Linked DNA regions of Arabidopsis thaliana. The protein of the gene in region 1 interacts with the protein of each later gene in a pairwise test. Each region holds a gene or a part of one and is shown in the gene's direction. Other genes may lie near its edges.

Evidence for each region.
Region 2: the proteins of HDG2 (region 1) and AT5G26749 interact in a two-hybrid assay, tested with the Arabidopsis thaliana proteins (one large-scale study listed by BioGRID).
Region 3: the proteins of HDG2 (region 1) and MYB106 interact in a two-hybrid assay, tested with the Arabidopsis thaliana proteins (one large-scale study listed by BioGRID).
Region 4: the proteins of HDG2 (region 1) and HOS10 interact in a two-hybrid assay, tested with the Arabidopsis thaliana proteins (one large-scale study listed by BioGRID).

Annotation. Positions count from the first base shown.
Region 1 is NC_003070.9:1,511,285-1,521,664, reverse strand, and holds HDG2 (homeodomain GLABROUS 2), read left to right. Parts: upstream 1-2,764; 5' UTR 2,765-3,095; intron 3,096-3,438; 5' UTR 3,439-3,484; exon of another isoform or gene 3,485-4,607; 5' UTR 4,608-4,640; coding exon 4,641-4,882; intron 4,883-4,960; coding exon 4,961-5,078; intron 5,079-5,655; coding exon 5,656-5,844; intron 5,845-6,213; coding exon 6,214-6,627; intron 6,628-6,701; coding exon 6,702-6,803; intron 6,804-6,874; coding exon 6,875-7,075; intron 7,076-7,102; exon of another isoform or gene 7,103-7,140; coding exon 7,141-7,315; exon of another isoform or gene 7,316-7,399; coding exon 7,400-7,671; exon of another isoform or gene 7,672-7,744; coding exon 7,745-7,840; coding exon of another isoform or gene 7,841-7,861; exon of another isoform or gene 7,862-7,920; coding exon 7,921-8,277; 3' UTR 8,278-8,291; exon of another isoform or gene 8,292-8,365; intron 8,366-8,371; 3' UTR 8,372-8,764; downstream 8,765-10,380. Other genes in the region: AT1G05240 (Peroxidase superfamily protein), read right to left, coding at 1-161, 251-463; AT1G05220 (Transmembrane protein 97, Putative), read right to left, coding at 9,009-9,170, 9,402-9,722; AT1G05210 (Transmembrane protein 97, Putative), read right to left, coding at 10,180-10,362. UniProt on the Arabidopsis thaliana protein: Probable transcription factor. Involved, together with PDF2, in the regulation of flower organs development by promoting the expression of APETALA 3 (AP3) in the epidermis and internal cell layers of developing flowers.
Region 2 is NC_003076.8:9,395,869-9,402,125, reverse strand, and holds AT5G26749 (C2H2 and C2HC zinc fingers superfamily protein), read left to right. Parts: upstream 1-2,858; 5' UTR 2,859-2,886; coding exon 2,887-3,019; intron 3,020-3,103; coding exon 3,104-3,225; intron 3,226-3,372; coding exon 3,373-3,436; intron 3,437-3,567; coding exon 3,568-3,639; intron 3,640-3,731; coding exon 3,732-3,841; 3' UTR 3,842-4,111; downstream 4,112-6,257. Other genes in the region: SK 11 (shaggy-related kinase 11), read left to right, coding at 287-388, 466-558, 666-725, 821-1,093, 1,169-1,243, 1,340-1,396, 1,484-1,624, 1,712-1,762 and 4 more.
Region 3 is NC_003074.8:44,147-51,055, reverse strand, and holds MYB106 (myb domain protein 106), read left to right. Parts: upstream 1-2,759; 5' UTR 2,760-2,912; coding exon 2,913-3,049; exon of another isoform or gene 3,050-3,150; coding exon of another isoform or gene 3,151-3,158; coding exon 3,159-3,283; exon of another isoform or gene 3,284-3,367; coding exon 3,368-3,497; exon of another isoform or gene 3,498-3,585; coding exon 3,586-3,938; exon of another isoform or gene 3,939-4,015; coding exon 4,016-4,437; 3' UTR 4,438-4,660; downstream 4,661-6,909. Other genes in the region: AT3G01130 (ATP synthase E chain), read left to right, coding at 5,534-5,581, 5,679-5,822. UniProt on the Arabidopsis thaliana protein: Functions as a repressor of epidermal cell outgrowth and negatively regulate trichome branch formation. Acts both as a positive and a negative regulator of cellular outgrowth. Promotes both trichome expansion and branch formation.
Region 4 is NC_003070.9:13,074,955-13,082,218, forward strand, and holds HOS10 (high response to osmotic stress 10), read left to right. Parts: upstream 1-2,935; 5' UTR 2,936-2,971; coding exon 2,972-3,104; intron 3,105-3,183; coding exon 3,184-3,313; intron 3,314-3,461; exon of another isoform or gene 3,462-3,819; coding exon of another isoform or gene 3,820-3,975; intron 3,976-4,350; coding exon of another isoform or gene 4,351-4,427; exon of another isoform or gene 4,428-4,819; intron 4,820-4,935; coding exon 4,936-5,311; downstream 5,312-7,264. Other genes in the region: AT1G35516 (myb-like transcription factor family protein), read left to right, coding at 3,820-3,961, 4,351-4,427. UniProt on the Arabidopsis thaliana protein: Transcription activator.

The DNA of each region.
Region 1 (10,380 bases):
AAGGCAAGAACATCAGCGCAAGAAATGAGATTAGGACACTTCCTCTCCAGCGCTGTCTTGGCCGCATCCACCACTTCATAACCTTTCAGGGTCAGGTTGGGGACAGCGTCTCTTTCCGCATCATTCTTTGCAGATTTCAGAAGAACGGAACCATCACATCCCTACATGAATCATTACAAAAGAGTGTTAGGACTAGCTAGTTTTTTCATATCCCTTGGTTAACAGTCTCGAACAAGTGAACCAAGCTTACTCTGACGAAACAATCATGGAAATGCATCCTTAGAAGTTTAGCGGCAAGGGTTTTCTGGCGAGAAACATATTGTACTGTGACACCACGAACAATTTCCTCTGCCTTGGGACACTTAGACCGGTAGTAGTCGAGGTCAAGCAACTGTGGAATGGCGACAGAAACTCCAACCACGCTAAGAAGAACCACAAGGGCGAGAATGTTCTTGATCGCCATTACCGTCTCTCTCTCCTTTCTTCGTTGAGTGTTTGCCAAGTAAGGTGAGAACGAGCTTTGGAGATGAAGATGAAGGAGACATTCTCAGGCCTTTTATAGATCACCCAGCGGCTTTGAAATAGTCCATGGAGAAATGCCAAACAAGATTTAGATAATCCCATTTGCATTTTTCCTCTGTTTCTTAATGAGGGTTGAAATACAAGAGGAGCTCGAGGAGGACATTGCATGGCCTCCACTATCTTCTTGATCTCTGCTGGTGCTGCAATTAAATATATTAAATTTCCACAATTAGAAGAAATCGAAATCATGCAACGATTAAGAAAGCTTCAAATCATCTTTTGCGCTTTGAAAAGCTATTGACTTTGGAGAAGATGTAGTTTGGGGAATTTTTTTATTAGTCCTTAGCTCTCAAAAGTTAAAAACTATAATAAACTGTTATAGTTTGTGGAATCCACGTTCCTGCATTCTCAATGTAAACTATCCAAGTTGCTCAATTCAGTGATTGGATATTACAATATACGGCTAGTTTCTTGTGAAACAAGTCGTCCTATAGACTAATGCAAAACAAAACAAAAAAATCAATCATTTTCCTTAACTAACTTTCCACTCTCGGAGAATGAGACTTTCGGCCTTGCCATTCTCGTTGGGGATAAAATATATAATGGGCCAAAAGTTTACTTCCGTCTTATGGCCCATATACGAAGCCCAGAAACAAAAAAAAACTACGATCTTGAATTTATTACAAAAGCATCCATTTTTTCAACAGAAGAATTCCATTTTGAATCTCAGATTTGATCATATTGGCAGAAAAAACACTAATTGAAATAAACTAAAAGTTTGACAAAAAAAAGAAATAAACTAAAAATAAATATTTGAGACTTACGAGGATGAAACAAACTTAAAATGTGAATAGTATTGTAGCAATTCTTTTTTGAAATAATTAACTTTTAGTGATGTAGCAGGAAAAAAGAAAAAACTAAAAAAAAAAAAAAAAAAAAAAGAAAAAACTAAAATGTTAGGCGTTGAATTACTAGTTTTTTTTAGTAGGAGAGTACGAAGAAGGAAGAGGAGGTTAAAGTGCAAGAGAGGCATGAGAGCAGTAAATGGCCTAAAGCCCATGCAGCCTCTGTGTACACATTTAATGCGTCGAAACTATTCGCCACCCTATCGCATACGTACGTACGTATAACTCCATCTATATATCTGTACCTACATATATACAGTAAAAATCAGAAATAAGTTGGGTTATTGTTTTTTTATATATAGTTATTTTAAAGAATCTAGGTAAAGTATAAACTTACTGAAAAGAAAAACTTGAGTGTTAAAGCTATAGCTATAAGGACTTTAAAAAAAAAAACAAAGCTTAAGAACTAGGTAATTAAATACGCAGTATATTTCTCTATATATTCGCGTGATAAATTAAGATGAATGCATGGCTTTTACAAATTATCACCTTTTTAATGGGTGATCCGTATTTTAAATAGCTTAATTGCACGTTATAGTTATAAATGCTTGGGCCACAAAGTAATTAATATTTCTAGGCATGTAAAATGAAGTCTTACTGTGAAAAAAGTGATATTTCATTGACTTCCTTAAATTGAAAAAACAATTGTTTCGTAAACAAAACTCAAAATTAAGGTGATGATTTTTAGATTTTCTTCTTTTAAATGAAATAAAATAAATACATCACTCAATCAACTTCTGTCTGACTAACAATAATACAACCTAAACTTCTATAATATTTAAGAAAATGCCATGTGGAAGAAGAATCATGAAATTTTCCTTCTTTACAATTAAATTTATAACAAAGATATGAAATAATAATAAAATAAAATAGTTAAAAATATAATAGTCATATTTTTTGAAAGTAAAAATTAAATTTATATCTCATAAAGATAAATATTAACTATAACAAGTCATTGAATTTTAGTTAAAAAACTATATAATTTTTTTCCATATTATAAATAATCTAAGAGTATTAAAATTTCAGAAAATTACTTTTAAAATTGTATCCTTGACAAATGGGGACTATTGTCTAACTTTTTCTGTAAATGGAGAACTGTATTAAAGCAAATTTCAATATAGTTAAATCTTTTTTTAATATAGTTAATTTTGTTAAGTGGTGATTTATTGCATATGCATAAGTTATGAATAATGCTAATGATTTTTTAAAAATAACTACATATCTAATAGATAAATGTAAGTCTCATAGGCTCATAGACCGTTAGCCGTCATTCCTCACCACATTATAATATTTTAAATAAATAAAAAATAAAATTATTTTAGGTTGACATTGTATATAAGATGAAAAACAACACATAATTTTGTAACATAAATAAAATAAATTGTAACATATCTCTCTCTCTCTATATATATATAAGCGTGTAGGATAATTAAGTGTCCCTCTCGCACCATTTAATTTCATTGCACCCTCTCAATTCTCTCTGTCATTACTCTCTCATCTCTCTTCCTCCAAGATTTGCACCTACCTTTCAAACCTTTTGCTCGCCAACAAAACCGCGCTTCACAAAACCATCAGCGGTTTTCCGAGAAACAAATCTCAGACCAGACACCGCTCTACTCTTCTCTCTCTCTCCCTCTAGGGTTTCGTCGCTTCTTCCTATATCCCAGTGTATGTCTCGAAAACCTCATCATTTCTGCTGTTTTCTTTATTTTATCCATTAATTCATGTACACAAATTTATTTGTTTAAAGTATCATTGGATCCATTACACTTCAGTTTTCTTAGCATCTTTATAAAACTCTCACTTTCATGATGTTTTTTTTTTATAATTTAATATATCCTGTATGTTGAATTTTCAGTTAGTCATCTATATTTTGTCTTAAATTTTGCCTTCTTTAGCATTAATTAATTGATTTCTTGCCTCTAATATCTTTCATTCCTCTCCTAATTTGCTTTCTGACTTTCTGATTTATTGTATTCTTCTTTAAATAATCTTATCAATTTCTGCATAGTCAGAGATGAAACCTTCAAGAAAACAATAAAGAGGAAAGATTAAAGGTTAGTATTCCCTTGCCTACCAAAAAAAACAGAAAGGTTTGTATTCTCTTCGTATATCCTTATTTTCATTATACGTTTGGTTTTATATATAAACACGTGTATATACTTTATAGTAGTAGTATACATTTACATATTAATGTGTGTAATAAAAACGTTTAAATACGATGATGATGATAAGAAATAGCTGGAAAAAATTAATACATCACCCAGGCCTTATGTCACGTTGGTTGTAAGTTGTATAATAACTATATGTTGGTCCGTCGCACAGGTGCACAGATATAATACTATTTTTTTCATTTCAATTTTTTTTTCTTTCTTAATCGCCAAATAGTAGTTTACACTTTTTCCTGAAGAGTTTTTATTTTTTGAAAATCTACTAATGATTATATTTAATTAAATTTTGTTTTGTTCTCACGAAAATATTGTTTTTTTAATAAACAGGATAGAGTTGGGAATTTATTTGTACCTACTTTTTCCCATTTTATTTGCTTTGAACAAATGAGTCCAACATTTCTCTTTTCGTCTTCTCTTTCCTATCCCATCTAAATCAAAACTGATCAAAATACCTCGAAATTTTAAATTAAATCACCATCCATCAAAGCTATTATAGTGTAGAAATTTTAAAGTTTTTTCTTTGGACAACAATTGATTTCCATCTACACTACATATGATATGACTCTTGAATCAATCATAGTTTTTATTTCAGTCTGCTGATTAGTTTTTTTCTTTTCTTTTAAAAGGGTAAAAAATCGGTAGTTTCGAATAATTTTGAGTATGTGAAAATTCATTATTTTTGGGTTGGTTATTCAATAACAAATTAATTTGTGATTGTGATGTCTTTTTTATGCAAGGCTCTTTTTTCTTGCTTTCAATTAGTGGGTCCTTTGTTTCCTACAATCATCTCCAATTCTTCTGTTTGCTTATATCATTTTGTATGATCTTCAAGAAGAAAGATAAACGACTCCGAAGAAAGATTTAAGTTATTGTTGTTCATACAAAAAGAAGGTTGTAAAGTTGTTGACGTGGACAAAAGTATTGCCATATTTTTCCAGCCTCGAAGAAATTTCCCTTCTTCTTCAAACCCTAAATTTTGACAAAACTCTCTACTTTTTTTTGCTTCTAGGGTTTGCTTTCAGTTTCCGGAGTATAAGAAAAGATGTTCGAGCCAAATATGCTGCTTGCGGCTATGAACAACGCAGACAGCAATAACCACAACTACAACCATGAAGACAACAATAATGAAGGATTTCTTCGGGACGATGAATTCGACAGTCCGAATACTAAATCGGGAAGTGAGAATCAAGAAGGAGGATCAGGAAACGACCAAGATCCTCTTCATCCTAACAAGAAGAAACGATATCATCGACACACCCAACTTCAGATCCAGGAGATGGAAGCGTATGTGTTTAACTTACTCACTTACTTCAATTTTCTTGTGTGTTTTTTGACAATTCTTTTGTTTTGGTTGTTAAATAGGTTCTTCAAAGAGTGTCCTCACCCAGATGACAAGCAAAGGAAACAGCTAAGCCGTGAATTGAATTTGGAACCTCTTCAGGTCAAATTCTGGTTCCAAAACAAACGTACCCAAATGAAGGTATACTTTTTATATTATGAACATATATACATTAGTTAATGGATCTATATATATTAGAGAAAATATATATACTTGTTAATTAAATTGTTATTTCATTCATATTAAGTCTTGTATATATACATTGAAGGGCTTATCTTTATACTTAAGAACATTTTGGGTGGCTGGTGTTTTCTTTCAGAATGAATTCATTGACTTTTGGCAGATTTTAGATCTAGTTGAGACACTTTGACTTAAAATTTCTTACTTATTTTTTTTTTCAATTGAAAAGTTGTTCCTTTGGCAGAACTATATATTTGGCGGATCAAGCTATAGAAAATTGTTTGGTTGTAACAACATTGCCTATTTATTATCTTAGTTAGAGCCATATATAATCTATAGATTGAAACGTTTTGGACACATATGCTTACGTTATGCAAATACGGTGAAACACATAACGTGTACACGAGTGTTTTATTTGAAACATACACTTTTCCTCTTTTTAAGTAAAATCCTTTGTTCCTTCGTTTTACCCAAATTAGAAATAAATCACTTGTATAAAACTTTAGAGATAACCGGAATATAAGTTTTATTTGCGCAGAATCATCACGAGCGGCATGAGAACTCACATCTTCGGGCGGAGAACGAAAAGCTTCGAAACGACAACCTAAGATATCGAGAGGCTCTTGCAAATGCTTCGTGTCCTAATTGTGGTGGTCCAACAGCTATCGGAGAAATGTCATTCGACGAACACCAACTCCGTCTCGAAAATGCTCGATTAAGGGAAGAGGTATGAGAATCAACTATTTTAAATGTTCAAATAATGTTAAGAGTTTTACACTTAAATGTTGTCAAGAAGATAAAATAAAAAATTAGAATTTGTTTTTATACCACTAATGTTATATCGCTTTCACAATAATCATTTCTTTCTTCATAAAATAAAAACTTTTATAGATTTGTATTGAAATTAGAGAATTTAAACATTTTTTTTTCATTGAAGAATAGAAAAAATTATGATATTAAATTGAGATACTAAAACGATATTTTTGGAACTGTAAGGAGTAGTAGTACATAATAACAACATTACTCAACGTTTCTTCTTGTGACCAAACTTTGAAAACCACAAGGATCAATAATCTTTCTTATTTGTCTGTTTTAGATCGACCGTATATCCGCAATCGCAGCTAAATACGTAGGCAAGCCAGTCTCAAACTATCCACTTATGTCTCCTCCTCCTCTTCCTCCACGTCCACTAGAACTCGCCATGGGAAATATTGGAGGAGAAGCTTATGGAAACAATCCAAACGATCTCCTTAAGTCCATCACTGCACCAACAGAATCTGACAAACCTGTCATCATCGACTTATCCGTGGCTGCAATGGAAGAGCTCATGAGGATGGTTCAAGTAGACGAGCCTCTGTGGAAGAGTTTGGTTTTAGACGAAGAAGAATATGCAAGGACCTTTCCTAGAGGGATCGGACCTAGACCGGCTGGATATAGATCAGAAGCTTCGCGAGAAAGCGCGGTTGTGATCATGAATCATGTTAACATCGTTGAGATTCTCATGGATGTGGTAATTAACATTTTCATTTTACTTAAAAGCAATCTTCTCTGTTTAGTTTCAACAACATTGATATGATGTTGCAGAATCAATGGTCGACGATTTTCGCGGGGATGGTTTCTAGAGCAATGACATTAGCGGTTTTATCGACAGGAGTTGCAGGAAACTATAATGGAGCTCTTCAAGTGGTAATTTTTTTTGCTTTTATTCTGTAAAAATTAAATTTCAAACTGAAATAACCACTCTGTTTTGCTTGCAGATGAGTGCAGAGTTTCAAGTTCCATCTCCATTAGTCCCAACACGTGAAACCTATTTCGCACGTTACTGTAAACAACAAGGAGATGGTTCGTGGGCGGTTGTCGATATTTCGTTGGATAGTCTCCAACCAAATCCCCCGGCTAGATGCAGGCGGCGAGCTTCAGGATGTTTGATTCAAGAATTGCCAAATGGATATTCTAAGGTAATATAATAAAAACATTAGGTTATACAAAATGTTTACTTAAGTAGAGAGAATTAATGTAACAGGTGACTTGGGTGGAGCATGTGGAAGTTGATGACAGAGGAGTTCATAACTTATACAAACACATGGTTAGTACTGGTCATGCCTTTGGTGCTAAACGCTGGGTAGCCATTCTTGACCGCCAATGCGAGCGGTTAGCTAGTGTCATGGCTACAAACATTTCCTCTGGAGAAGTTGGCGGTATAACCTACTGTTTGTTTCATAAACAGTTTTCATAATCAGAGTCAGAGTCAGAATCACAGTTCTATATTAATGAATATGCAGTGATAACCAACCAAGAAGGGAGGAGGAGTATGCTGAAATTGGCAGAGCGGATGGTTATAAGCTTTTGTGCAGGAGTGAGTGCTTCAACCGCTCACACGTGGACTACATTGTCCGGTACAGGAGCTGAAGATGTTAGAGTGATGACTAGGAAGAGTGTGGATGATCCAGGAAGGCCTCCTGGTATTGTTCTTAGTGCAGCCACTTCTTTTTGGATCCCTGTTCCTCCAAAGCGAGTCTTTGACTTCCTCAGAGACGAGAATTCAAGAAATGAGGTAACTATTTTAGTTACTACGCTCTCTTGTTCTGTTTTGGACAGAGTTTTGATGTTTTTGTGAGATTTTGCAGTGGGATATTCTGTCTAATGGAGGAGTTGTGCAAGAAATGGCACATATTGCTAACGGGAGGGATACCGGAAACTGTGTTTCTCTTCTTCGGGTAAATGTGAGTTACACCGGGTTTTGAACTATTGTTATAATCATCTGATCCTAGCTAAGAGTTTTCAATCTTTCTTTATGTCACAGAGTGCAAACTCTAGCCAGAGCAATATGCTGATCCTACAAGAGAGCTGCACTGATCCTACAGCTTCCTTTGTGATCTATGCTCCAGTCGATATTGTAGCTATGAACATAGTGCTTAATGGAGGTGATCCAGACTATGTGGCTCTGCTTCCATCAGGTTTTGCTATTCTTCCTGATGGTAATGCCAATAGTGGAGCCCCTGGAGGAGATGGAGGGTCGCTCTTGACTGTTGCTTTTCAGATTCTGGTTGACTCAGTTCCTACGGCTAAGCTGTCTCTTGGCTCTGTTGCAACTGTCAACAATCTAATAGCTTGCACTGTTGAGAGAATCAAAGCTTCAATGTCTTGTGAGACTGCTTGAAAACCATCCATTAGGTACTACTTTCACTAAATATATTCTTCTCGCTTTTACGCCATTATATGATGTAATCATATTTTTCTTCTTCTTTCTGCAGGAAATAACAAAATGGTGATGATGGAAAAAAGAGAGAGATTTCAGTTTGAGAAAAGCGGAGGAGTCAAGATCGAACCTCACAAGAGAATACCATTGAGTGTTTGTTAGTGTTAAGTTTTGGTCTGCTTATTTGATGAAACTAAGCAGTGAAAAACTTTTTACTTGAAAGTGAATATGTAGATGGTTTTACGAGGTTCGGGAATTTGACTTCCCCTGTCACATACTGAATTAGACAAAAACAAAAACTAGGTTAGAAAGAATGCTTTCGGATTTCTTTTTGTGTTACAGTTACTGTTTTTCTTTCCTTCTTGTGGTTAGATGGACCATCATCAGGAATTTGGAGTTTGTCTTTCTTTTGTATAAATATCTTATACAAGTATTTTGGTACTTTTGTAAGCTTATGTGAGTTTGTCTAGGGGAAAGCTCACACTTTTTTTTACCAGACAATGAGTGTCTCTCAAAAGGGCCATTGCCAAGTAAATTTACCTTTTGGTTCTGTTTAGGTTAAGTTCAACCAAGGAATTGTTGCTGAGTTAATACTTGAACAAAATTTCTAGAAGGGATAATGTTTTCACATTGAACATTCATACCATGTGATAAAGTAAAGTTTTCAAATGAGAAATTACCCTGGTTTATCCTCAAGCAAGCTTTCTCCTGGCTAAAACAGTTGATCTTTTGGTCGAACAAGTCACCAGACCACGAAGCATTGCCAGAATTGCAAGACCCACGAAAGGCAAATACGCCAATAGCAATTTGTTAGTCACCTTCTCTGAACCTATCATGTCTCCAAGTATAGCAGCCTAGAGATTCACAAAACACACAAAAACAAAACGTGAAAGAAACTTACAAACAAAGCGGTACAATCTAGCCTTCTCAGAGAAGCAGAGCAATCACATATACTAAAATATAGAACTCCAAAAGAATTTTCGTTTCCAAATCAAGAAAGTTGTAACATTTACAGATCAACAACATCAAAAACAAATATACATAGACTGAGCCAAATGAAAATGAAGAGAAAGAAGAAAATGTACCATGGAAGTGAGGAAAGAAGCTCCATACAACAAAGAAGTGGTACCAAACCACGACTTGCTGGTAAGAATGGCGTAGATGTTGACAATGGAGAGAGGCAATAGGAATATGATCTCATGCCAGACGAGTCCAACGAAGAAAAGAGGCTTCTCTATGAAGAGGTAATCGTTGAACTCAGAGCTGTACCAGTCTTTCAGATCGGTGAGGAGCTTCGGGTAGATTCCAGGAAATAGTATTTGACCGTTGAGAAGCGGTACATTGATAGCCATCAGTGCGAAGAAGAAAAACAGAGAGATGTTGATCAGCTTCCCCAAAGCTCCCATCTTTTTTTGCCTCTCTCCCGAGTCGTTGACCACAAAAATGAAACAGAAGAAGAAGAAGAGACGAATTCTTGAGATTCACGCACGGTTTATTTAATTGTTGGTTTTACTTAACCGAACCAACAGACCCGAGCTATTTCTCTCTTTCTAATTTTTATAACTAATTGCTGGTTTAATTACACCGAACCAATTCAAACAAGACTCAAAGAGGACCAAGTTAAGACCCTAGTCCAGTGGCGCGGAACTGGAAGAGCACAGGCAGTAGTGTCAAGAATGAATTTTATATCAACCAAGTAAACATTTCATTGTTGCTGAGTCAACAAACAAGAATTCCACATAAATCAGAAAGCAATAAAGTTTTCACAAGGAAAAATAAACACCTCTTTCTAGGCATATACAGAAAAAGGATGAGTAAGTCTTCCAGAGAGAAAAATCAACTGCTTTTTTTTTTTTTTGAATCTCAGGCCAGCTTTCTTCTGGGCATGATAGTGGATCTCTTGCCAGAAGATCCAGTGTTTTTGGTGGATCGATAAACTAAGCCACGAAGAACAGCCAGAATCCCAAAACCCATGAAAGGCACATACATCATTAGCAATCGATCAGATGCCTTCCCTGAACCTATCATATCTCCTAGGATTGCAGCCTAAACATTTACAGGAAG
Region 2 (6,257 bases), on another chromosome or scaffold:
ATGTTTGGGTCTTTTAAATTTTGCAACTTTTTTTGGGCTTATCATTATTTTTTTTGTTCCCGTTAAAAAAAAACTTTCCTTTTCGTAATTTTAGTGTTCTAAATTGTTTTTTACTTATTTGAAGTGTTCAATTGTTAAGCTTGAAAGAATTGTGTTTTGTTCCTTTATTGAAATTGAATTTGTGTGTTTTGTTATTAGTAAAGCAACAAACTTTACTCATTGGATTTTAATCTCTGTTGTTATTTGTTGCAGGCTTGAAAGTTTGAAGAGTTTTGTAGCCTGAAAAATGGCGTCAGTGGGTATAGCTCCTAATCCTGGAGCAAGAGACTCTACTGGTGTTGATAAATTGCCTGAAGAAATGAATGACATGAAAATTCGTGACGATAAAGTATGTTTCCATGCGTTGTAGTATAGTTTTTGGTATGTATTTCATGAGAATCTAAATAATGGATTGTGGTTTGTTAGGAAATGGAAGCGACAGTGGTAGATGGAAATGGAACAGAGACTGGACATATCATTGTGACTACTATTGGTGGTAGAAATGGCCAACCAAAACAGGTTTTTGATTCTTCTTCTTTGCAAAAAACTGTTCTTTTAATCTTCTTAAGTTAGTTGATTGGTTAGTGTTTCGTGTTTTTATTAATTTTTCTACAATGTCAATGCAGACAATTAGCTACATGGCTGAGCGTGTTGTTGGTCACGGATCTTTTGGTGTTGTGTTCCAAGTGAGTTTTTGTTAGCTTATCATCTCTCACGTTTTACATCATGTATCTATCAATTGACTGAATTGGATTCCTCTGTATTTTCTTATGTGATTTAGGCGAAATGTCTTGAGACAGGAGAAACTGTTGCGATAAAGAAAGTTTTACAAGATAGGAGGTACAAGAACCGTGAGCTTCAAACCATGAGGCTACTTGACCATCCTAATGTTGTGTCTCTGAAACATTGTTTCTTCTCAACCACTGAAAAAGATGAGCTTTACCTCAATCTTGTTCTTGAGTACGTTCCAGAAACTGTTCATCGTGTTATCAAACACTACAACAAACTGAATCAGAGAATGCCTCTTATATACGTCAAACTTTACACTTATCAGGTATCAATTATTACATTTCTGTTAGATTTAGAGTTATGTTTTGGATCTCTTATCGGATTTCTCTATGTTTGGCAGATTTTTAGAGCCTTATCTTACATTCACCGATGCATTGGTGTGTGTCATCGTGACATAAAACCTCAAAACTTGTTGGTATGTACAAGTTAAATAAACAGGAGCTCACAGTATACCCGGGAATATACTTTTCTTCATTGTCTAATGCTACTTTTTTCACCTGTAATGGAACAGGTAAATCCGCACACTCATCAAGTAAAGCTATGTGATTTTGGAAGTGCAAAAGTATTGGTGAGTTTGATAAACCTCTTCCGGGTACTTTGTTTCTTGGAAAAAGTTAGATTCAATCTTGTTGATCATTGTAATATCTGAAAACAGGTAAAAGGAGAACCAAACATTTCCTACATCTGCTCGAGGTATTACAGAGCACCTGAACTTATTTTTGGAGCAACCGAGTATACGACAGCCATTGATGTCTGGTCTGCAGGATGTGTTCTAGCTGAACTATTGCTTGGACAGGTAATGCATTAAATCTTATTCAAACATTTTTGTTCTACTTAACCTGGAATTTTGTGATTGACAAACTCTATTCTCTGCTCATGACAGCCCTTGTTCCCTGGTGAGAGCGGTGTTGATCAACTTGTAGAGATTATCAAGGTATAAGCTTTGCACTTGTTCACTTTGATAACAAGTTCTTGTTTTCAATAATACTGAGAGAAGATTTGATGTAATGTTTTTTGTTATGCTTTGGGGTAGGTCTTGGGAACGCCTACTAGAGAAGAAATCAAGTGCATGAACCCAAACTACACGGAATTCAAATTCCCTCAGATTAAAGCTCATCCATGGCACAAGGTAGAAATAAACTTATATTCATCAAATCAACTTGTCAATGTGTTATTCAGTAGCAGTTACAGTCAATGTGACAATATCTACTCGTCATAATATATTCACAGATTTTCCACAAACGCATGCCTCCAGAAGCTGTTGATTTGGTCTCAAGACTTCTTCAATACTCTCCTAATCTACGAAGTGCCGCTGTGAGTATTACTTACAAATTCAACATTCTTCTGTGAATCTTCTCGATGGTCCTTTCATTTCCTATTTTTCTTTTGTCTGACTTGCTTTTACTTGAATCGTAAACCTGATCACAGCTCGACACATTAGTCCACCCATTCTTTGATGAGTTAAGAGACCCAAACGCACGTCTACCTAATGGACGTTTCCTTCCACCGCTTTTCAACTTCAAGCCTCACGGTACAACATCTCCCTTTCCTAATGGTGTTTATCTCCAACTTACCTGTAAAATCATCAAAGTTTTACCTTACTAAAGCTATACCTGTAATTGTTGTGAAACAGAGCTGAAAGGTGTACCATTGGAGATGGTAGCTAAGTTAGTACCTGAGCATGCAAGGAAGCAGTGTCCTTGGCTCGGTTTGTGATTTCCTCTTAATGTAGCATGAACACAACAAACACTTCTTATAAATTACCTCTCTATGTATCAATATGTCACAAACTGATATGCACCCTTTGTTTGTTGTATGAGTAGAGAAAAAAAGAGTTATTACTATGGTTGGTTGGTTCATAATGTAAAAGCCCACCAAGATTTTTTATCTAGATAAAGAGTTTGCTACTTCTGCTTTTGTATCTTCTTCTTCCTCTGCAACATCATCAAACAAAGACCCTAAAAGTCACTGTAGCAAATACAAGTATCCTCACGCGCCTAAAACTAATAAAAGCCAAAACTTTTTGATTCTACGAGTCGTCGTCGTCATCGCCGGAAGATGCCGTCGGGGAAATATTACTGTGATTATTGCGAGAAAGAGTTTCAAGACACTCAAGTCGCTAGAAAACGCCATCTTCAAAGCAAACCTCATCTTCGAGCTAAAGCCCTTTGGTACAGTTCTTCTTCCTCAGGTATCTCTCTTCTCTCTTTTTTCTCTCTGTTTCTTAAAGGAACGATTTTTAACATCTCTGTTTCTTTTAATACGAAATTCTTAGATCTTGTTAATCCACAAGTCTCCAATTTTGCGACGAAAGGTCTCTGCAATCGATTCATTACCTCGGTACGTCGGATTGATTTTGTTTCGCTATGTTCATCATTCCTAGCAATCTCTGGATGTGTAAAGTCTTGTCCTTTTCGTTTATATTCTGGTGGAATCACACATTTTACATTGCTTTGTTTGATTCTGCAAAAAAATTCATTGCATATGTGTGTATGTATGTAATCTTCCAAGTAAAGTCTGTTCCTTTCTTAATGGGTTTTGCAGAATTTTTGCCCATTTGGAGATTCTTGCAGATACTTCCATCCTAACAACAATACAGGAAGCACAGGTTAGGTCAAAACCTGTTGATTTTTGACTTCAGTGATTTGGTCTCTTTTAGGCTACTTAAAGCTTTAAAGAAGTCTCTACTATGCGCAAGATTTGCTTAAAACATCATCCTCTTGTTGAATTCAAATGCAGGATTCACAAATAATACACAACTTCGTGTTGACATGCTTAACCAACAACACATCCAAGGAAGTACTTTAAACCGTATGCGTTCTTGTTTTTTCGTCATTCAAGTTCTCTAATATTTAAGCATTTATAGAAAATCTGATGTTGGAAGTTTGAATTGTCTAAAACAGGTGATTTTGTTAGTGGGAGACCAGGAACAGGTTGGTTTGATCTTCCGCCATCGCTAAAACCGCCTCCTGAGCAAGGCTATCCTCAGCTTCCCTTCATAGACTGGGGATAGATATAAATTCTCTGAATAATGCTCAGTTTCAACATTGATGATTCTACTTGAAAGGAAAAGACTAATCTTTGTCTCGTTGTGCTCTGCCATTACCAAGCTTTTAGCCACAAGCTTGTCTCTTTTCAGACTCGAGGTTGGAAGAATGTCAACCAAATTGTCGTCTTGTTACTCAATTTGTCGTCAACTTTAGAGACATTGTTCGGAGTTTGGACATGGCAAATTTGCAATTTAACATACTGTGCGATATTCTGATAAAATTCTTTAAATTTCGTTGGCTCGTCCCTATTCATTGCGTGATGATAGGATATCGCTAATTCGCTATCCGCTTCCTGGCCATGTGCTAAACAAGACTTCCCAAGCCAAACTATCAAAATATTTGACAAAGTTGGAGCAATTCCTAAGGCTGTAGATTAATTACAAAGTTGGAACAATTTTTTCCCTAGAAAATACATTATTGAGAAACAGAGTATAAGTTGGCTAAAAGAAAAATCAGATTGTTCAGAATCAAATATTTAAATTATTAACTTCATTTTCATTTCTTCAACTCCATAAAATAGAACTAATTTTAAACTCTTTATTGTTGAGAGAAATATCTTCGAATCTCCTAAGAGTAATTTAGTCGAGCATGTTGGTTTGAGTTTATAAAAGATAGGTTATGATTTATTAGTTAATATTTCAAATTTATATATTGGTTTTTAGGTTTATAATGGAGGGTTTTAGTTTATTTTTTATTTTAATTATGAACAAAGTAAATAGTTTGAGTTTATAAAGAAGAGTTTGATTAGCGTATTATAATTACTTATATGTCGGTTTAGGTTTAAGATTTTATAATTAAAGATTATATTTCTGTTAGGGTTTTAGGGTTTCAGGGTTATAATTAAAGGTTATATCTTATATTTCAGTTAGGATTTTATAATTAAAGGGATAGTTAAGGTTTTAGATCTTGTAATTAAATGTTATATTTCTGTTTAGATTTATAAAAAAGATTAGGATTTAGATTTTACGATTAAACGAGATTATAAGTCAATTTGAGTTTATAAAAGAATGCTTAGGGTTTGGATTTTACAACTAAATTCAATTAAATGTGGTTAAATAATTGTTTACGTTTTTATAAAAGAGTGATTATGGATTAGATTCTATAATTAAAAGAATTTAATTCTTGGGAGATTTGCAAAACTACCCTTTTGCAACAATACCCTTATATGTGGTTCTTTTTTAAAAATACCTTTTCCCTTGAACAGAATGACCAAATTACCCTCATCTAATAGTAACATGTAATTGGAAACTGAAATTTTCCCGCCATATTTTTTTTTTCCCGCCAAAAAAAACAATACCGCCAAACTTTTTTCCCGCAAAAAAATAAATTCCCTCCAAAAAAAAATTTCTCGCGAAATTTGTTTTCCGTAATATTTTTTTTATCAGCCAAAAATTAAAAATCCTTGTAAATTTTTTTTGCGGGAAATAGATTTACAAGAGATTTTTAAAAGATTTTAAAAGATTTACAAGGGATTTTAAAAGGATTTAAAAAAATTTACAAAGGATTTTAAAAGATTTACAAAGGATTTTAAAAGGTTTTAAAAAGATTTACAACAGTTTTTAAAGGGTCTTCTTGTAAATTCTTTAAAAATCTTTTAAAAACATTTGTACATTTTTCAAAACCCTTTAAAAATCTCTTGTAAATATTTTAAAACTCTTTTAAAATCCCTTGTAACTCTTTTAAAACACTTTTTAACCCTTTAAAAAGCTTATGTAAATCTTTTAAAGCTCTTTAAAATCCATTGTATATATTTTAAAACCCTTTTAAAATTTCTTGTAAATCTCTTAAAACTCTTTTAAAATTCCATAAAATATTTTTAAACCCTTTAAAAATCTTTAAAAAACCTTTGTAAATCTTTTAAAGTCCTTTAAAATCCTTTGTAAGTATTTCAAAACCCTTTTAAAATCCCTTGTAAATCTTTTAAAACCCTTTTAAAATCCCTTGTAAATCTTTTAAAACCCTTTTAAAATCCTTTGTAAATCTATTTCCCGCCAAAAATGTTTTTTTTTGCGGCAAAAATATTTTTGAAAAAAACATTTTGGCGGGAATTTTTTTTTGAAAATTTTGGCGGGAAATTTATTATAGACAATTTTAAGCGAAAATATTAATATTTCATTTTGTTAACGTAAAACAATTTCCAAATAGGGATAAAATGGTAATTAAAAATTTAGAGAGGGTAGAAATGAAAATTGTTTTAAAAAAGGGTAGAGTTGAAAAGGGTCATCATAAAAAAGGCATTAAAAAGGATTTATTATTATGGGGAGACCTACAAAACTACCATTTTTTTACTAACTTTTTGCAACAATACTCTTTTCTGTTCTCCATTTTTAAAAATACCATTTCCCTTGAACAGAGTGAACAAATTACCCTCATCTAATA
Region 3 (6,909 bases), on another chromosome or scaffold:
ACAAATTCAATTTGTTTCCATTGTTGTATAGATTTAGCATTGTAGTTTCTAATTTCTATCTTAAAATTTAAAAATTGTTATTTCCGATATTTAAATAAAGTTTAAATTTTGACATTCATGTATTTGTTATAAAAATAATTAAGTCAAATTGTTTTATTTGCCAAGATTTTCTATTGTTGACCCCTTCAGAGAAATACTATCATTAAACCCCAAAAAAGCAAAACACTTTTCATGTGATCACAGAGAATCGGGACTTCAAAGGTCACAAGTTAGAGGTCCTACATGAACTAACTATCAGTTAAATCTCATATCCTTACTTCCAATCTTAATATTACTTGTTGTCTTTGTCGAGAGGGTCTCAATAGTGTGTACTGTTTGTGAAGGGACTACTAAATTACTAATCCATTAATACAATTTTAATTCTATCATTAACTAGGCTTTAACACTGTACTAAGTTTGTTGCAGTTTCTTTCTATCACTTGCGTGGCTTGTTTCTTGCCTTAAGTTGGCTAATAGTAATTGCTTATGCTTGGTCTACTGTGATTAAGATGAAAGTTGTCTTGTTTGCTTCCTTCCTCTTTGTTGACTTTTAGTTGGATGATTTGGTCATGTCTTGTTGATGAAGATAGTGAATGAAAAAGGTTGGACCATAACTTACTGAGAGATGTTTTGATTGAGAACAAGCAAGTTTGACTTGCTTTTTGCGATGTTAAATCATCTTCTGGCTTAGGTCAATGGACAAGAAATGTCTAGATCCAGTGACAGATTACAGTCTCTGCGTTTGTATGTCTTGAGTTCAGTAATTACTAAGCGAACTTAAAAGTGTTTTACATTGTTTTTCTACGAAACAGTTTCGAGGAAAAAGACTTGAAGCATTCATGCATGTACTTGTTGTTTACTGTTTTTTCCATGCGTGTGACTGACTTGTTGTTCTATTCGGTAGAACGAGCACACACAGAAGCAAAAGACTTGGAGCATTGATGTGAGAATTTAAGAAACTATAATTTCTGGTCCAAAAACTGATGATGAAGAAAAGCAAATGGTTATCAGTTGACTTTAAAAGCTTTGGCCCCTCTTCTTAGCTCACTCAATCTCAGCTACGTTACGTGGATGGATGTGATTTTGACAAGTGGCAACATCATCATCTATGAAGTTTATTGAGCACTGTTTGGACCATAAAAGATGAAATCAGCCAAGACAATTAAAGAGGTGTCCCCATTGTCCTTTACATCTTTTGCAGCCAGTATGATTTAGTTTTTCCAAAATTCAATTTTGTTTTTATTGGTACAATTCGTTGGGCCTTATGATTTTGTCTTATGGTTTATCTTTGTGTTGATGAAGATACTTTCTTCTCTTCCTAGAAGCTTGGAGCCCACCTCAATAAATCCTTTCTTTGCTACCATGGCACACACTAGGATACTCTTTTCTTTGTTTGGTCTGGTAAAATCTCTTTAATGTCACCGTCACCGCCATTACTCGTCTACCTTTCTTGGCAGCCAAAGTTACCTTTGTCGACAACATTTGATCACCTGTAAACTATCCAAACCATGTATGCCACTAAAATTTTGCATAATGGTCAGTAAGTAACAAATTATACAATTCTGATTATGGTCAAATTTTACCTTTTGTGGTATGCTACTAGTTAAAGGGTAACCAAATAGTGGTTTTTACCTCATCAAGTCGCTATTTTGATGGTTAAGTTTCTGTATACTTTTCATCATTCATTGTCTATGTTAGTTTATCTTTGTGAAAAAATAGATTTTGTGATGAATTGACACCAAGAACAGTGGAGCAGCCAGTGGGACTTTCATTAAATGGTAAAGGAACCAGACAAGGAAAGGTTTTTCACCTCCTTTCTTCTTGCTCCCACCACATTAGTGTTTCCTCTCTTCATTTATAAGGGTTCCAAATTTTTACAATGGTTGAAACTCAGTGTTTACCGCGGTCATAGTTTTCTGATACTTTAGAGACAGTGACTATTAGTGTAAAAATGTGTTACCATAAAACTATTGTTGCTTCCACAGGGAGAATTATACCATTTGCAGAGCAATGACTAATTGAATAAACAACAAGTCTAAGCTAATGACATCATTGACAACCAATTAATTACTTGCAACTACTTTGCATTTTCCCTTTTTTTTCCTTCTATAATCAGGGTTTATGAATCATTAAGACTTTTTGCTCTAAGTTACTCCAAATATCATTAATCCTCTGTGTCTGATTTGCTTTTCCCATTATAGTGCCAGCTTCCACTTCTTCACCGCCATCTAACAGCATTTACTATTGTGGAGTTTCTACAAAAAGCTAACTAAAATGTGAAACGAAGAAATCAATAAACACGTTTCCATAAAGTAGTGTAACTTATTAGGGTAACTAGTTGTAGGCAAGACCGTAAGTAAGACAAAACAATAAGAACTTTGTAGCTTTCAAGAAACCATCACTCAATAGGATACCTGTAATAAGAAACCTTGAGCATCTTTTAGACCCTAGTGTAAGATAATTGAGTTTTAGTGAGAAGTGTTTAAAACTTGTAACTAGCTTAAATGGGTTTAGTGCATTTGGGGACTGTCGACAGCGAACCTTGACGCGAGAAAAATGCGGGAAAGTAACAAGAATGGTTTAAATGTCAAAACTGTTAAAGGACCACAAAGTTTGTTTAAGGCTAATGAGAAAAACATTCTTCTCAATGACATTATCCTAAGTTGCAGGGTTATCAAAGTGAGAGCTATTGATAGATGTTGACCTTAAAATTTACTCCAGGTTCTGAAATTCACTGTTTTACTTTTGTGTTGAGAGGTACAATTTCAAGGTAAAGATGGCTACAGTAATTGGGTGCTCTGTTGAGTCTTTAAAAGGAAATCAAGGTGTTGGAGCCACAAAGGTAATAATATCTCTCGACCCCATCCAATTGAATGCCAATCCATGTCAGAGACCGGGAAAAGGGGCGCTTACAGAACCTAAACAGAGACATCTTCTGTTGTGTTTCTCCATCTATATATCAGAGTGACGCCAAGAGAGCAGCTTTTGTGATCATACTGATCATGATCATGTAATGACAACTATCTCATACACTAGGTTATTAAACCGTGGATCAGATTGAAGCTAGCTTTTTCTTCAGTAGATTAGACTAATAACTTGTGTGGGAAAACAATGGGCAGATCGCCATGTTGTGATAAGGCCGGGTTGAAGAAAGGGCCTTGGACTCCAGAAGAGGATCAGAAACTTTTGGCTTATATTGAAGAACATGGCCATGGAAGCTGGCGTTCTTTGCCTGAGAAAGCCGGTAACTTGCTCGCTCTTTTCTCTTCAACAAAACCACACATTTTCTTCTAGCTCTATTCAAAGCTTTGCTTCAAACTCCTTATAGGTCTCCAAAGGTGTGGAAAGAGTTGCAGACTCAGATGGACTAACTACCTAAGACCTGACATCAAGAGAGGCAAATTCACTGTACAAGAAGAACAAACCATCATTCAACTCCACGCTCTCCTCGGAAACAGGTGACTCAATCACAATCTCTGCTTTCAAACCAAATAACCAAGTGATTGCTTTGAAAGCAAATTGATCGTCGTCCTTTAAATGTCATAGGTGGTCAGCGATTGCAACTCATTTACCAAAGAGGACAGACAACGAGATCAAGAACTACTGGAACACACACTTGAAGAAACGTCTGATCAAAATGGGGATAGATCCAGTGACTCACAAGCACAAAAACGAGACTCTTTCGTCTTCCACAGGACAATCAAAGAACGCAGCCACGCTTAGTCATATGGCTCAATGGGAGAGTGCAAGACTCGAAGCTGAAGCAAGGCTAGCTAGAGAATCAAAGCTTCTCCATTTACAGCATTACCAAAACAATAACAACCTTAACAAATCAGCAGCTCCTCAACAACATTGCTTCACTCAAAAAACATCAACAAACTGGACTAAACCAAACCAAGGTAAGGGACACATCGTCTTAAAAAAAACTCTCAACTTTGATTGGTTTTGGTAACGTATCAATGGAAAATTGTGACAGGAAACGGAGACCAACAGCTTGAATCTCCGACATCGACGGTGACATTCTCTGAGAATCTTCTGATGCCTTTAGGAATCCCTACGGATAGCAGCAGAAATAGAAACAATAACAACAATGAGTCCTCGGCGATGATTGAATTGGCCGTATCTTCGTCAACCTCCTCCGATGTGAGTCTGGTCAAAGAACATGAACACGACTGGATTAGGCAGATCAACTGTGGTAGTGGAGGAATAGGAGAAGGATTCACGAGTCTATTGATCGGTGATTCGGTCGGCCGGGGTTTACCCACCGGGAAAAACGAAGCGACGGCGGGCGTGGGGAATGAGAGTGAGTATAACTACTATGAGGATAACAAGAATTACTGGAATAGCATTCTCAACTTGGTTGATTCTTCACCGTCCGATTCCGCGACGATGTTCTGATCTAAGGGTCTTCAACCAAACATTTTTAATTCTCAGATTGTTTTTTAAATGTCGATAGCTTTCCAATACTTTTTACTTATCTTTATTTTCTTTATAAACTATTATATATATATATATATATATATATATGGGATGAAAATGAGCTTAATTTTAGTATTCGTTTTTGCAGAATTGCATGTAGCAAACCTGCAAATCCAATTTACAATTTATATATTATGCTTTTATGTTGTTGGTATACAGTTTGTTAGAAAAATATTTTAAGTGATAACGTCGTTGTCATTTGGCCAAATACATAAACCATAATAAGGGATCCTCCTTCAAATCCTAATACGTTTTTGTTTTGGGAATGAGCTTTCTTGAAAAGCCTATCGGCACAAAGATCCTTTTTAGTATCATTGCTTTGTTCGAATTTAAATTACTAATTTTGGGAATAATTAGGCGCTTTAACTATTGAGTTATAGAAGTTGAGCTTTCCTTAATCTTATATTGATAAGATGTTTCAAAATATAGGATTGGAACCACTCCATAATTCTTTAAAGTTGCTGAGTGCAAGCAATTGAAGGAAATAGATATTCATATTACTTATCCACCGGTTGTGGAGTATTTTTGTCTAATTTTCAAATTTTTCTATATGAGAGATGTCTGAACGAAGAGGCTGTAATTATAACAACAACACGTTGACATGTCGAGTAAAAGAAAGAAAATTCAATGCTTGGTTGTTTCATGTCCTTTTCTTTATCATAAATTTATTTATATACAGTATGATCCATAGTAATAAAACACAGATATTACTAATAGATTCGAGTCCACTAAACTTAAGACATTTTTAACAAAAGGTTACATTACATCCATCGAATTTGATAGTAAATCCTTAATCGTTTACTTAATGTGCATGCAAATTTGGGCGTAATAGTAAGAAGGATATGGGCCTGACGTTTGGTACTATTGAATAAAGGCCCATATAAAGCCCAATAATTTGCTTTTCTGAGAAGACGGAGACAAAGGAGTCGCTCTGGTCTTTCATTATCGCGAATCTGAGATTTCGGAAGATTCGATCGATTTGGGGGTTTTAGGGTTTAATCTCAACTGCTAATCAATGGCGCCACCTCCAGGACTTTACTCCGGTACCAGCACTCTTGCTCTGGTAAACCCCGGATCAATTTCTCGATCTGTAGCCTTGACTTGTCGAATTTTGGATTTTGAAGAGTTCATCGAGTCTTTTCTTTTTGGTATCGATTTAGGTTGCTCGTGCTTCGGCTTTCGGGTTGGGTCTCATCTACGGCAACATCAAGCTCAAGGCTTTAAAGGTACATCTCTCTATCTTCCTTGTCTTGTTTTTATCAGATGAGAAATTATTTTCATTGGGTTTCATTTTGACATCCTAAATCTGACACTTGCCATTATAGCAGCAAATTCGAATGTTTATGGCTTTTGAATTATGATATTCTCGATCGAATCATGTGTGCCGTGACTATTAGTATGCTACTTTGCTCCTTTTGGTTTGGTCATCTATACACAAGTAACATGATTCTTTGACCCCAATGTTTCTGCCTGAGTTCTGATCTCCTATTCCACTGAATGATCATAGTTTTGACTTGATGTTTAGTAGAAGAGTTTGTCAATGATTTGCAACTTGATCACTGAAATGTAATTTCTTGCCTTTGTAAAGCATAAGTTTGCGATGTTGTGTCTGGTTTCCAAACCCTAAGAAAATCGGTATGAAAGTAGAGCCTATGTTGCTTCCTTTAGAGCATCCCAATCCTTATTCATTCAGATTGTGGAATCTAATTTTCTACTATGATGTGATTTGCTAATAAGTTATGATGATACCAACAAATGCTTCTTCTTCATATGCAGATAAAGAAGAATTCGCAGATTAAGGCCGAAGCAAAGGCTCATCACTAAACCAACTCTTCTTCTCCTTCTCAATAAGATTATGAAGCCAAGTGATTGTTATCTCTAAATGTAGTTCTTTTCCTCCTTAAGCTATATCTCCCTCGGTGACATTTTTTCCATCTTTCTGTTTTTTTAATCAAAATCTTCTGTCTGACAAAGCAATCGTATACCCGTTTTGGTTTAAACCTGAGTTCTTCTTTGGTACTTTCCTGCTATTCAATAAACACCATATTTTTATCATCTTAACCAGATAAATAATTTATAAAAAAAAAAAAAAAAAAAAAAGAATTTTTTTTGTTTTCAATTAAAATAAATAAATATCCGCCGTGGCGCAGAGTTAAAAGTAAGCAGTTGGCTATTCAGGACGACCAATGTGGTCACTGCTTGGTGGCAAGAACAAGTTGTGTTCGAGCTATACAAGGTCGTGGCTTCGAACATTGGTCACACTCACACATTCGCTGTCTCTCTTTCTCACGTAATAGAGGCATTCTTAAATGCCTTTTTCTGTTCTCTTTCATTCTCTACAATTTATTAAGTTATTTGAACTTATTGTAGAAACCTAAATGTTTGCACCCA
Region 4 (7,264 bases), about 12 Mb from region 1:
TTTCATTCTAATCTGTAGTTTTTTTTTTTTTTTCAGAACTCAGTTACTTCATATAAGATGCAAATAATATATATGTTTACATATTCTTATTAGAAAATTCTTACAGTCAGAATTATTAAAGAAATTTTCATAGGGTATGGGAAACTTTAGGATTTTAGTCTTATTTTGGTGTTTTGACTGTATAGTTGTATTTGCACATACCCCAAAATACAACTGTTTTAGCAAGAATTTGTTTTGAGTATTCTTTTTAGCAAATTACATCTTTGTTTTTGTTTTGTAAAAATGGACAAGTGTTCTTACCACTTTTAAACCCTTAATCTGTTTTATAGTAGCTGTGTTTCATAGTAAAGTAAAAGTATTGCGAAAGTATATGGAGAGTGTAATTAAATTAAACAAAGAAAGAACAAAAAAAATATTTTTCTTTTCTCGAAGAAAAAAATCTTCTCGAAAAGGAAAACAAAAAGAAAGATAGTGCCAAAAAGGCAGGTAGGATACAATTTGGATCTTGTTTCAGTGTTTCTCCACCACTCATTTTCCTTCTAGAAGATTAAAACAACCCAAAAATAACTAGTAATAAAATAACTCATTCATATCACTTGTAAGTTGTAACAAAAAAACAAATCCATCAAAATAATATCCCCACCAAACCCTTTCTCTTAGTAGTATAAAATCTAAGACCATGTTCATTGGAAGGGCCTTAACAGTTTCTTAAGGGAAATCCTCAAATAATTTTAACAAAAAATAAATAAAAATTGTGATTAAAGCTTAGACCATCTTCATTGGTGGTTTCTCACTGAGAAATTCTAAATAAAAATAAATCAAAAACATTAAAATAATAATTTTTTAATCAATTTTGTTCAGGATCGTTTATGAAATGAGAAACTTAGAGAAACTTTCTCTCTCTTCCACATGTCACCTTGTTATTAATTTCTTTTCTTTGTTATAAATACAATCATCTATACTTTATAACATCAATTAAATACTTTATATGTCTGTTATTTTTTTTTATTTTTTTTACTTTTAAAATTCATAAAATTAAATTATCTATATAACAAGCTCTATTATGTATATGTTTAAATTATGTACTAATATTATTTAATTGGTGTTAGTTATAAATACAATAGTTTTTTAATTACAAAACAAACATTTAAAATTTTCTATTTTTATTTTGCAATATTTTCAGATTAATGTAAAATTGTGATTTCAGATATATGTATTTAAAATTTAATCATCAATAAATCTTTTAATTTCTACTTATCTTACATAAGTGGTAATCCATTACCAAGTGAAAGACTTAATTTTTATTATGGTTTTATATGTAAAGTAATGTTTAATTATGGTTTTAAAAATAATAAAACTACTTAATAATATAATTTGTAAAAATAATAATTGATATATTTAAAAATATTGTAGAGATATTAAATTTAATATATGAAAAATATAATAATATTTTAATATTAATAAGATACCTATAAGAGTATCTCACCAATGGAAGCACAATTTTAGTATAAGTTTCTCTACTTAAATTAAATATAAAAATATTAATAATATATTATGAGGTATTGATGTAGTATCTCACCAGTGGAGATGCTCTTAGGTTCGCACCTAATTTTAGAGTTTATTCTGATCTCAAGGGGCGCATACGTGGCCATATATTATTGGCTCTGTGTTTGACAAAACAATTTTTTTTCTCGCTTTTGGCCTTGTTTATTTTTTCATTTCACGATTAATTTTCTTTCTCTTCTCTTGTAAACTCCGGAGGCCGATCGTACGATTGGTGATTATCATCATCACGCGTCGTCTCTTAATAAGATAGTTTAGAGATTGTGTTCGTATCGATTCTTAAAACAGTTTTATAAGTTTCGTTTAACTGATGTTTCGGGCTCGTGGAATTAGGTTGTGCTTGCTCGTAACAGCAGGATAATTTACTGATACCGACATTGATCCCATTGCTTGGCTAGCACAGTTATAGGTGTGTTTTGTGTCTGGATATTATTTAGTAGTTAATTTTTAGATTAAACCAATGTTTCAATTTAGATATCACTAAATTTTTGTGTGATAACAAGTGATGTTGATAAAGATATGTGCACCTTCGTTTTTTGTTTCTAATAAATATGTTTGCAAACAGCCTGAGAGACTTTTTCAAAGGAATCGATTAGGTGTCTGTAGTGAAGCTTTGGCTGCAACTAGGCCTAGAGCTGCTTCAAGGGGTCGTGATATGGAGATAGAGCGTGACTTACTAACCAGGTCAATTTTTACTTGAAAGTGCTTTGAACAATTATAGAATCCATTTCATTGAAATTTCCTGATATGCATACTGATGTGATTTGCTAAACTGTTGCAGTCAGTTCTCTATTGTACGAGAGAATACAAGAGAAAAGTTAAACGTAAGTTCAATCTTGATGTTCTGCAGTTTCTGCTTTGCAGGGTATATGTGACAGGGTGGTTGTTAAGCCCCAAAAACTGTGAGGAAGCTTGCAAGAGTGCAACATCTATATTCTCAATTGGCAGGGAAACTCACGAAGGAAGATGATGAGGTTATATAATACTATTGGAATAGTTTTTACATTTCCAAGCTCTTTTTTTTCTTCGAATTAGCTTTAACCCTTTGTCAAATAAATAAATTAGCATATTTTGTCAAGTAAATATTTATCATATTTATTTTTTTAAGAAACCCACTTAAGGATTCACTAATGGACTAGAAAAAAGTTTAGGATTCAACAAGAACTTTAATTTCAAAAAAATTCAAAATTTATTAGTATAAAAATGTAAGGATTCCATTATTAGGACTCCTTAATGGACATGCTCTAAGGAAAGAAAGAAAAAGAAGGTAACCTACCAAATCTTTTTCACCCACAAAATACAAGATACATACACCAACTTGGTCAAAGTCACTTCCTTTTTATAACACCTCTCTTTAGATCCTAGTCTCACTCTTCTTGTCTCATCACCCACACATGTAACCATCATCATGGGAAGATCACCATGTTGTGAAAAGGCTCACATGAACAAAGGAGCATGGACTAAAGAAGAAGATCAACGTCTTATTGATTATATACGTAATCATGGTGAAGGCTCTTGGCGTTCTCTTCCTAAATCCGTTGGTAAATTTCTCCAAAGTTTTGATTTTTTTTCTTTCAAATTTTTATGTTTCTTGATCTGATGATTTTATCTTTTCTTTAGGGTTGTTGCGTTGTGGAAAAAGTTGTAGATTAAGATGGATTAATTACCTTCGTCCTGATCTTAAACGTGGAAATTTCACTGATGGTGAAGAGCAAATCATTGTCAAACTTCATAGTTTATTTGGCAACAAGTAATTTCCTTTCTCTTAATTATGATTTATGAACAAACCAGTTTTACTGTAAAAAAGTAAAACCAATGGTTAAACCGTGAAAGACTAAAAAAAATGAAGAATCGGGTTTTGGTCATTAGTCCGAACCGGTTCACTGGTTTAATCAGATTTTAAACCGGGTGTTGTGAGTCTTTTTAATACCGGTTTTTGGTGATAACTCAAATCGGATAGCTATTCGATTCACAGTCAAACTGGTTCAACCGGTTTGAAAACACTGGAGAAAACTAATCAAATGGTTTTCTCTTCAGTTTATAAAAATGAATAAATGTACAATTTGGTTTATATACAAGCAGATCCAGTATTGAGAAGATAGCATTCTATGCGTTTTGAATGGAAAAGAAGGTTTTGTAGGCTTCTCTCTCTCTTCTCTCATTTGCATCTTTTAGAGAGAGAAAGCATCTGATCTTCTTTTTCCGGCAACAATAGCTTCTTTAGTGTTTGTTGGCCAGTTCTCTGTCCAGAATCTTATGGCTTTTCCAGCATGGATGTCTGGCTTTTGTCCGGCGATGTTTAGGGCAACGTTTGATTGTCGTGGTTCTTCTGACACTGTTCGGTTCTTTACGACGATGGTCGGTTTGCGTTTGGCTTCCATTGGCTTCTTTAGCGGCGGTAGGCTAGCTAAGGTCTAGAGTTTCACCGCCTATCTTCGGTGTTTCGTCTACCTTTTGGCCGGATTGATTCCGGTTTAGATTTATGTTTTCTTCTCTCGATTTCTTTATATTCAGTTTGATTGAGCTCTTTTGCGTTTCATTGTTAGATCTGGCATATAATTCCTTGAACCTCCTTTGTTTAAAGGGATTAATTTGTTTTCCACGCTTATCGATTTCATTTTTTGAGAACAAATTAAGATGCGGATTAAGGTTTTTTATGCTTATGGGTTGAAACTATTGCAATTGTGGCTGTTTCTCTAACTGATCTATGGAGACGAGTGCTTTTTTGTTCTTTTTTAAGGTGTTGCTGAAAGCTCCATCGGCTTACTCTACGTCGATGTTCTTTAGATTTCAGGAATCAATTGCCTTTGGGAGATCTTTCCTTTCCAAATTTGCTAATGAAGTTTGGTGGATTCTCTAATTAAAAATCAATGGACTTCTCTTGAAGCTCCGGCGGTTTCCGGTGGTTTTAGAGTTCCCTGAGTTGCTAACCAGAACGGTGGTGAATGGCGACAACTAAGGCTTCTTCAGTCAACGTGTTTCAACTTTGTTTGTTAACATCACACGTGGCTTTGTGGTGGAAGGGAATCTTTAATTTACTTCCTCTAAAGGTTTTGTTTCCTGGTTTGGGCTTTCTTTATGGGCCTCTGCTTATAAGTTAGACTTGTTGGTTTTTTATGTAATATGGATGACTATATTTTAGTTGATCCAATGTTGTAAGGTTTAATATGTGTCAAGATTTGTAAGTGGAAGGTTCCACAGTTGTATCTTTACAACATAAGGTTTTAAATAAAGTGCAACACTTATGAGAAAAAAATAATAAAAATACAAGCAGATCCAATTTGACAAAACCAAATAAATAACCGGTTTAATATACCCAAATGACCAAGTTTTAAACCAATGTTCCTTACATTTCGAATGTCTTTTTTTCAGATGGTCTTTGATTGCTGGGAAATTACCGGGAAGAACCGATAATGAGATTAAAAATTATTGGAACACTCATATAAAAAGGAAGCTTCTTAACCGTGGTATTGACCCAAAAACTCACGGTTCGATCATCGAGCCTAAAACGACATCGTTTCATCCCCGAAATGAAGATTTGAAGTCCACGTTTCCCGGTTCTGTTAAACTAAAGATGGAGACTTCTTGTGAAAACTGTGCTTCTACGAGCGGTACGACTACGGACGAGGATTTACGGTTAAGTGTTGATTGTGATTACAGATATGATCATCTGGACAAGGAGCTAAACTTGGACCTAACACTCGGGTACAGTCCGACTCGATTTGTCGGGGTCGGATCTTGTTACTAGCTCGTGTGACGTTTGTGTTTGTAAATTGGGATCACATATGAACCTTGTATGAATTGCTAAACGGGTTCTTTTAATGATAATAAATCTCATAACAAGTTATGTCTTTTTGGAGTTGTGTGCACCAAAGATATTATTTAGGGTTTGATTGGTAACATTGCGTTTAATAATATAGTTGAATAATACAAATTTGCAAAATAAAACTCGCAAAATAACAGTGTATACATATATAATGATATTTACATATATATATTTTTACAGTTATTTTGTGAAATAAATTCTGTAGTTTGGACTTATTTACAAGAAAAGCCACATGTATTTACAAGAAAATTACAATCTTTCCATATATATTCAAAAACAAAATCTGTGAATTTTATTCCACAAAATATGCATAAATCCGATTTATAGCAAATATGTATATTAACATTTTCTATAGCAATAAAAATACTAATTTATAATAATTAAAATATTCACACAAAAGTCATATACACATACAAGAAAAAGAACTAAATCTATCATCATTTAAGCCGTTGCTTTATTTAAATAAAAAAACACAAAAACTTGAAATCATATACTTTATATGATAAATTTAAAATCTATATTAGTAGTATAAATTTAAAATCATTCAAGGGACGGTATATTACGGGTGAGATCCTAAAATTATTGGATTTATAATAATAATAATTTTTTTTCTTGGATTTTATAACACTAATAATTTAGCTAACGAGATAATATAGACAAATTTATATGGGATGACGGGTGGTCATATGCGTTGGGGTATTTTCACGGATGTAAACATTTGATTAAGATGGTAGTTAACTCATTGATGTCTTCGTAGTAGATGAACTACTGTTGAGGGCTAGAACTGGTCGATGGTTGCTTAATGAATCAGAAATATTACTATAAAAGAAATTGATAGTATAAACGAAATAGTCTTATCCTTTTATTTGGCAAGTGAGTACCATGTTTTAGATCTTTCAGAAAACTTGGTGAATAGGCTACTCGACAGCTACATTTACCGTGAAAATTTTAGCCAGATGGTAAATGCTCATATTATCTATGGTTATGAAAACGTTACTGGAAAATAAACTAATATATGAAGAAAAATATTTAAAATTAGATGATGATGCTGTTTTAAAATGTATAAATGCATTACTACAATTATCGATATGTTCAAGTGTGTTTTATACTTTTTGTTATACAATGACGTATATTTGAATATGATTTTATTTGTTCGTTACTTGAATGCAATAAAACTTACTGTATGCATTGGACAATAGATTTTTTTTTTGTAATCTTCTTGCATATATACACTGAAACGTTTATTAAACAAATATGTCGCATCTATGCAACCAATATAATTTTTACAAGAGTGATTATTCATATTATTTTCTGTTCGCAAAACAAATATATTTTAAGATAGAAGTATACAACTTGGTCCTCCCTCCTTTTCTCTTCCTTCCTTCTTGTTGACATTATCAATTTTGTCCTTCTATTCCTGATTTTTCATATAAGTTACATTTTAAATTTCCAAATCACATAGTATCTTTTTTTGTGCAACAATCACATAGTAGTATCTTATTCCTTAATCTCTCAAAAAAAATCTACATTATTGACTGTTTTAATACAATTCAAGCATGTTTTAGCGAACTATGCGTTTTCTTTACCGCTTGGTTTTCATTCGTTTGATCTTTGCCCGGATATTGTTAAGCCGGTTTTGTTGGAAGATACCAATGGGTACACGATACCCATGATTGTCCGATTGTAATTTCTTTACATTTATTTGAATAAAACATAGGGGCCAATTGCCTCCTATCACTCACCAAAAAAAAAATACAATTCAAGCATGTGAAATGAAGAAAAAACTCTTTACCAAAATATGAATACTCGTGATGCCGTTACACCCTATCTATGATAACTTTTTATATCATTTTCTGCCTCTACTTCTTTATTTTT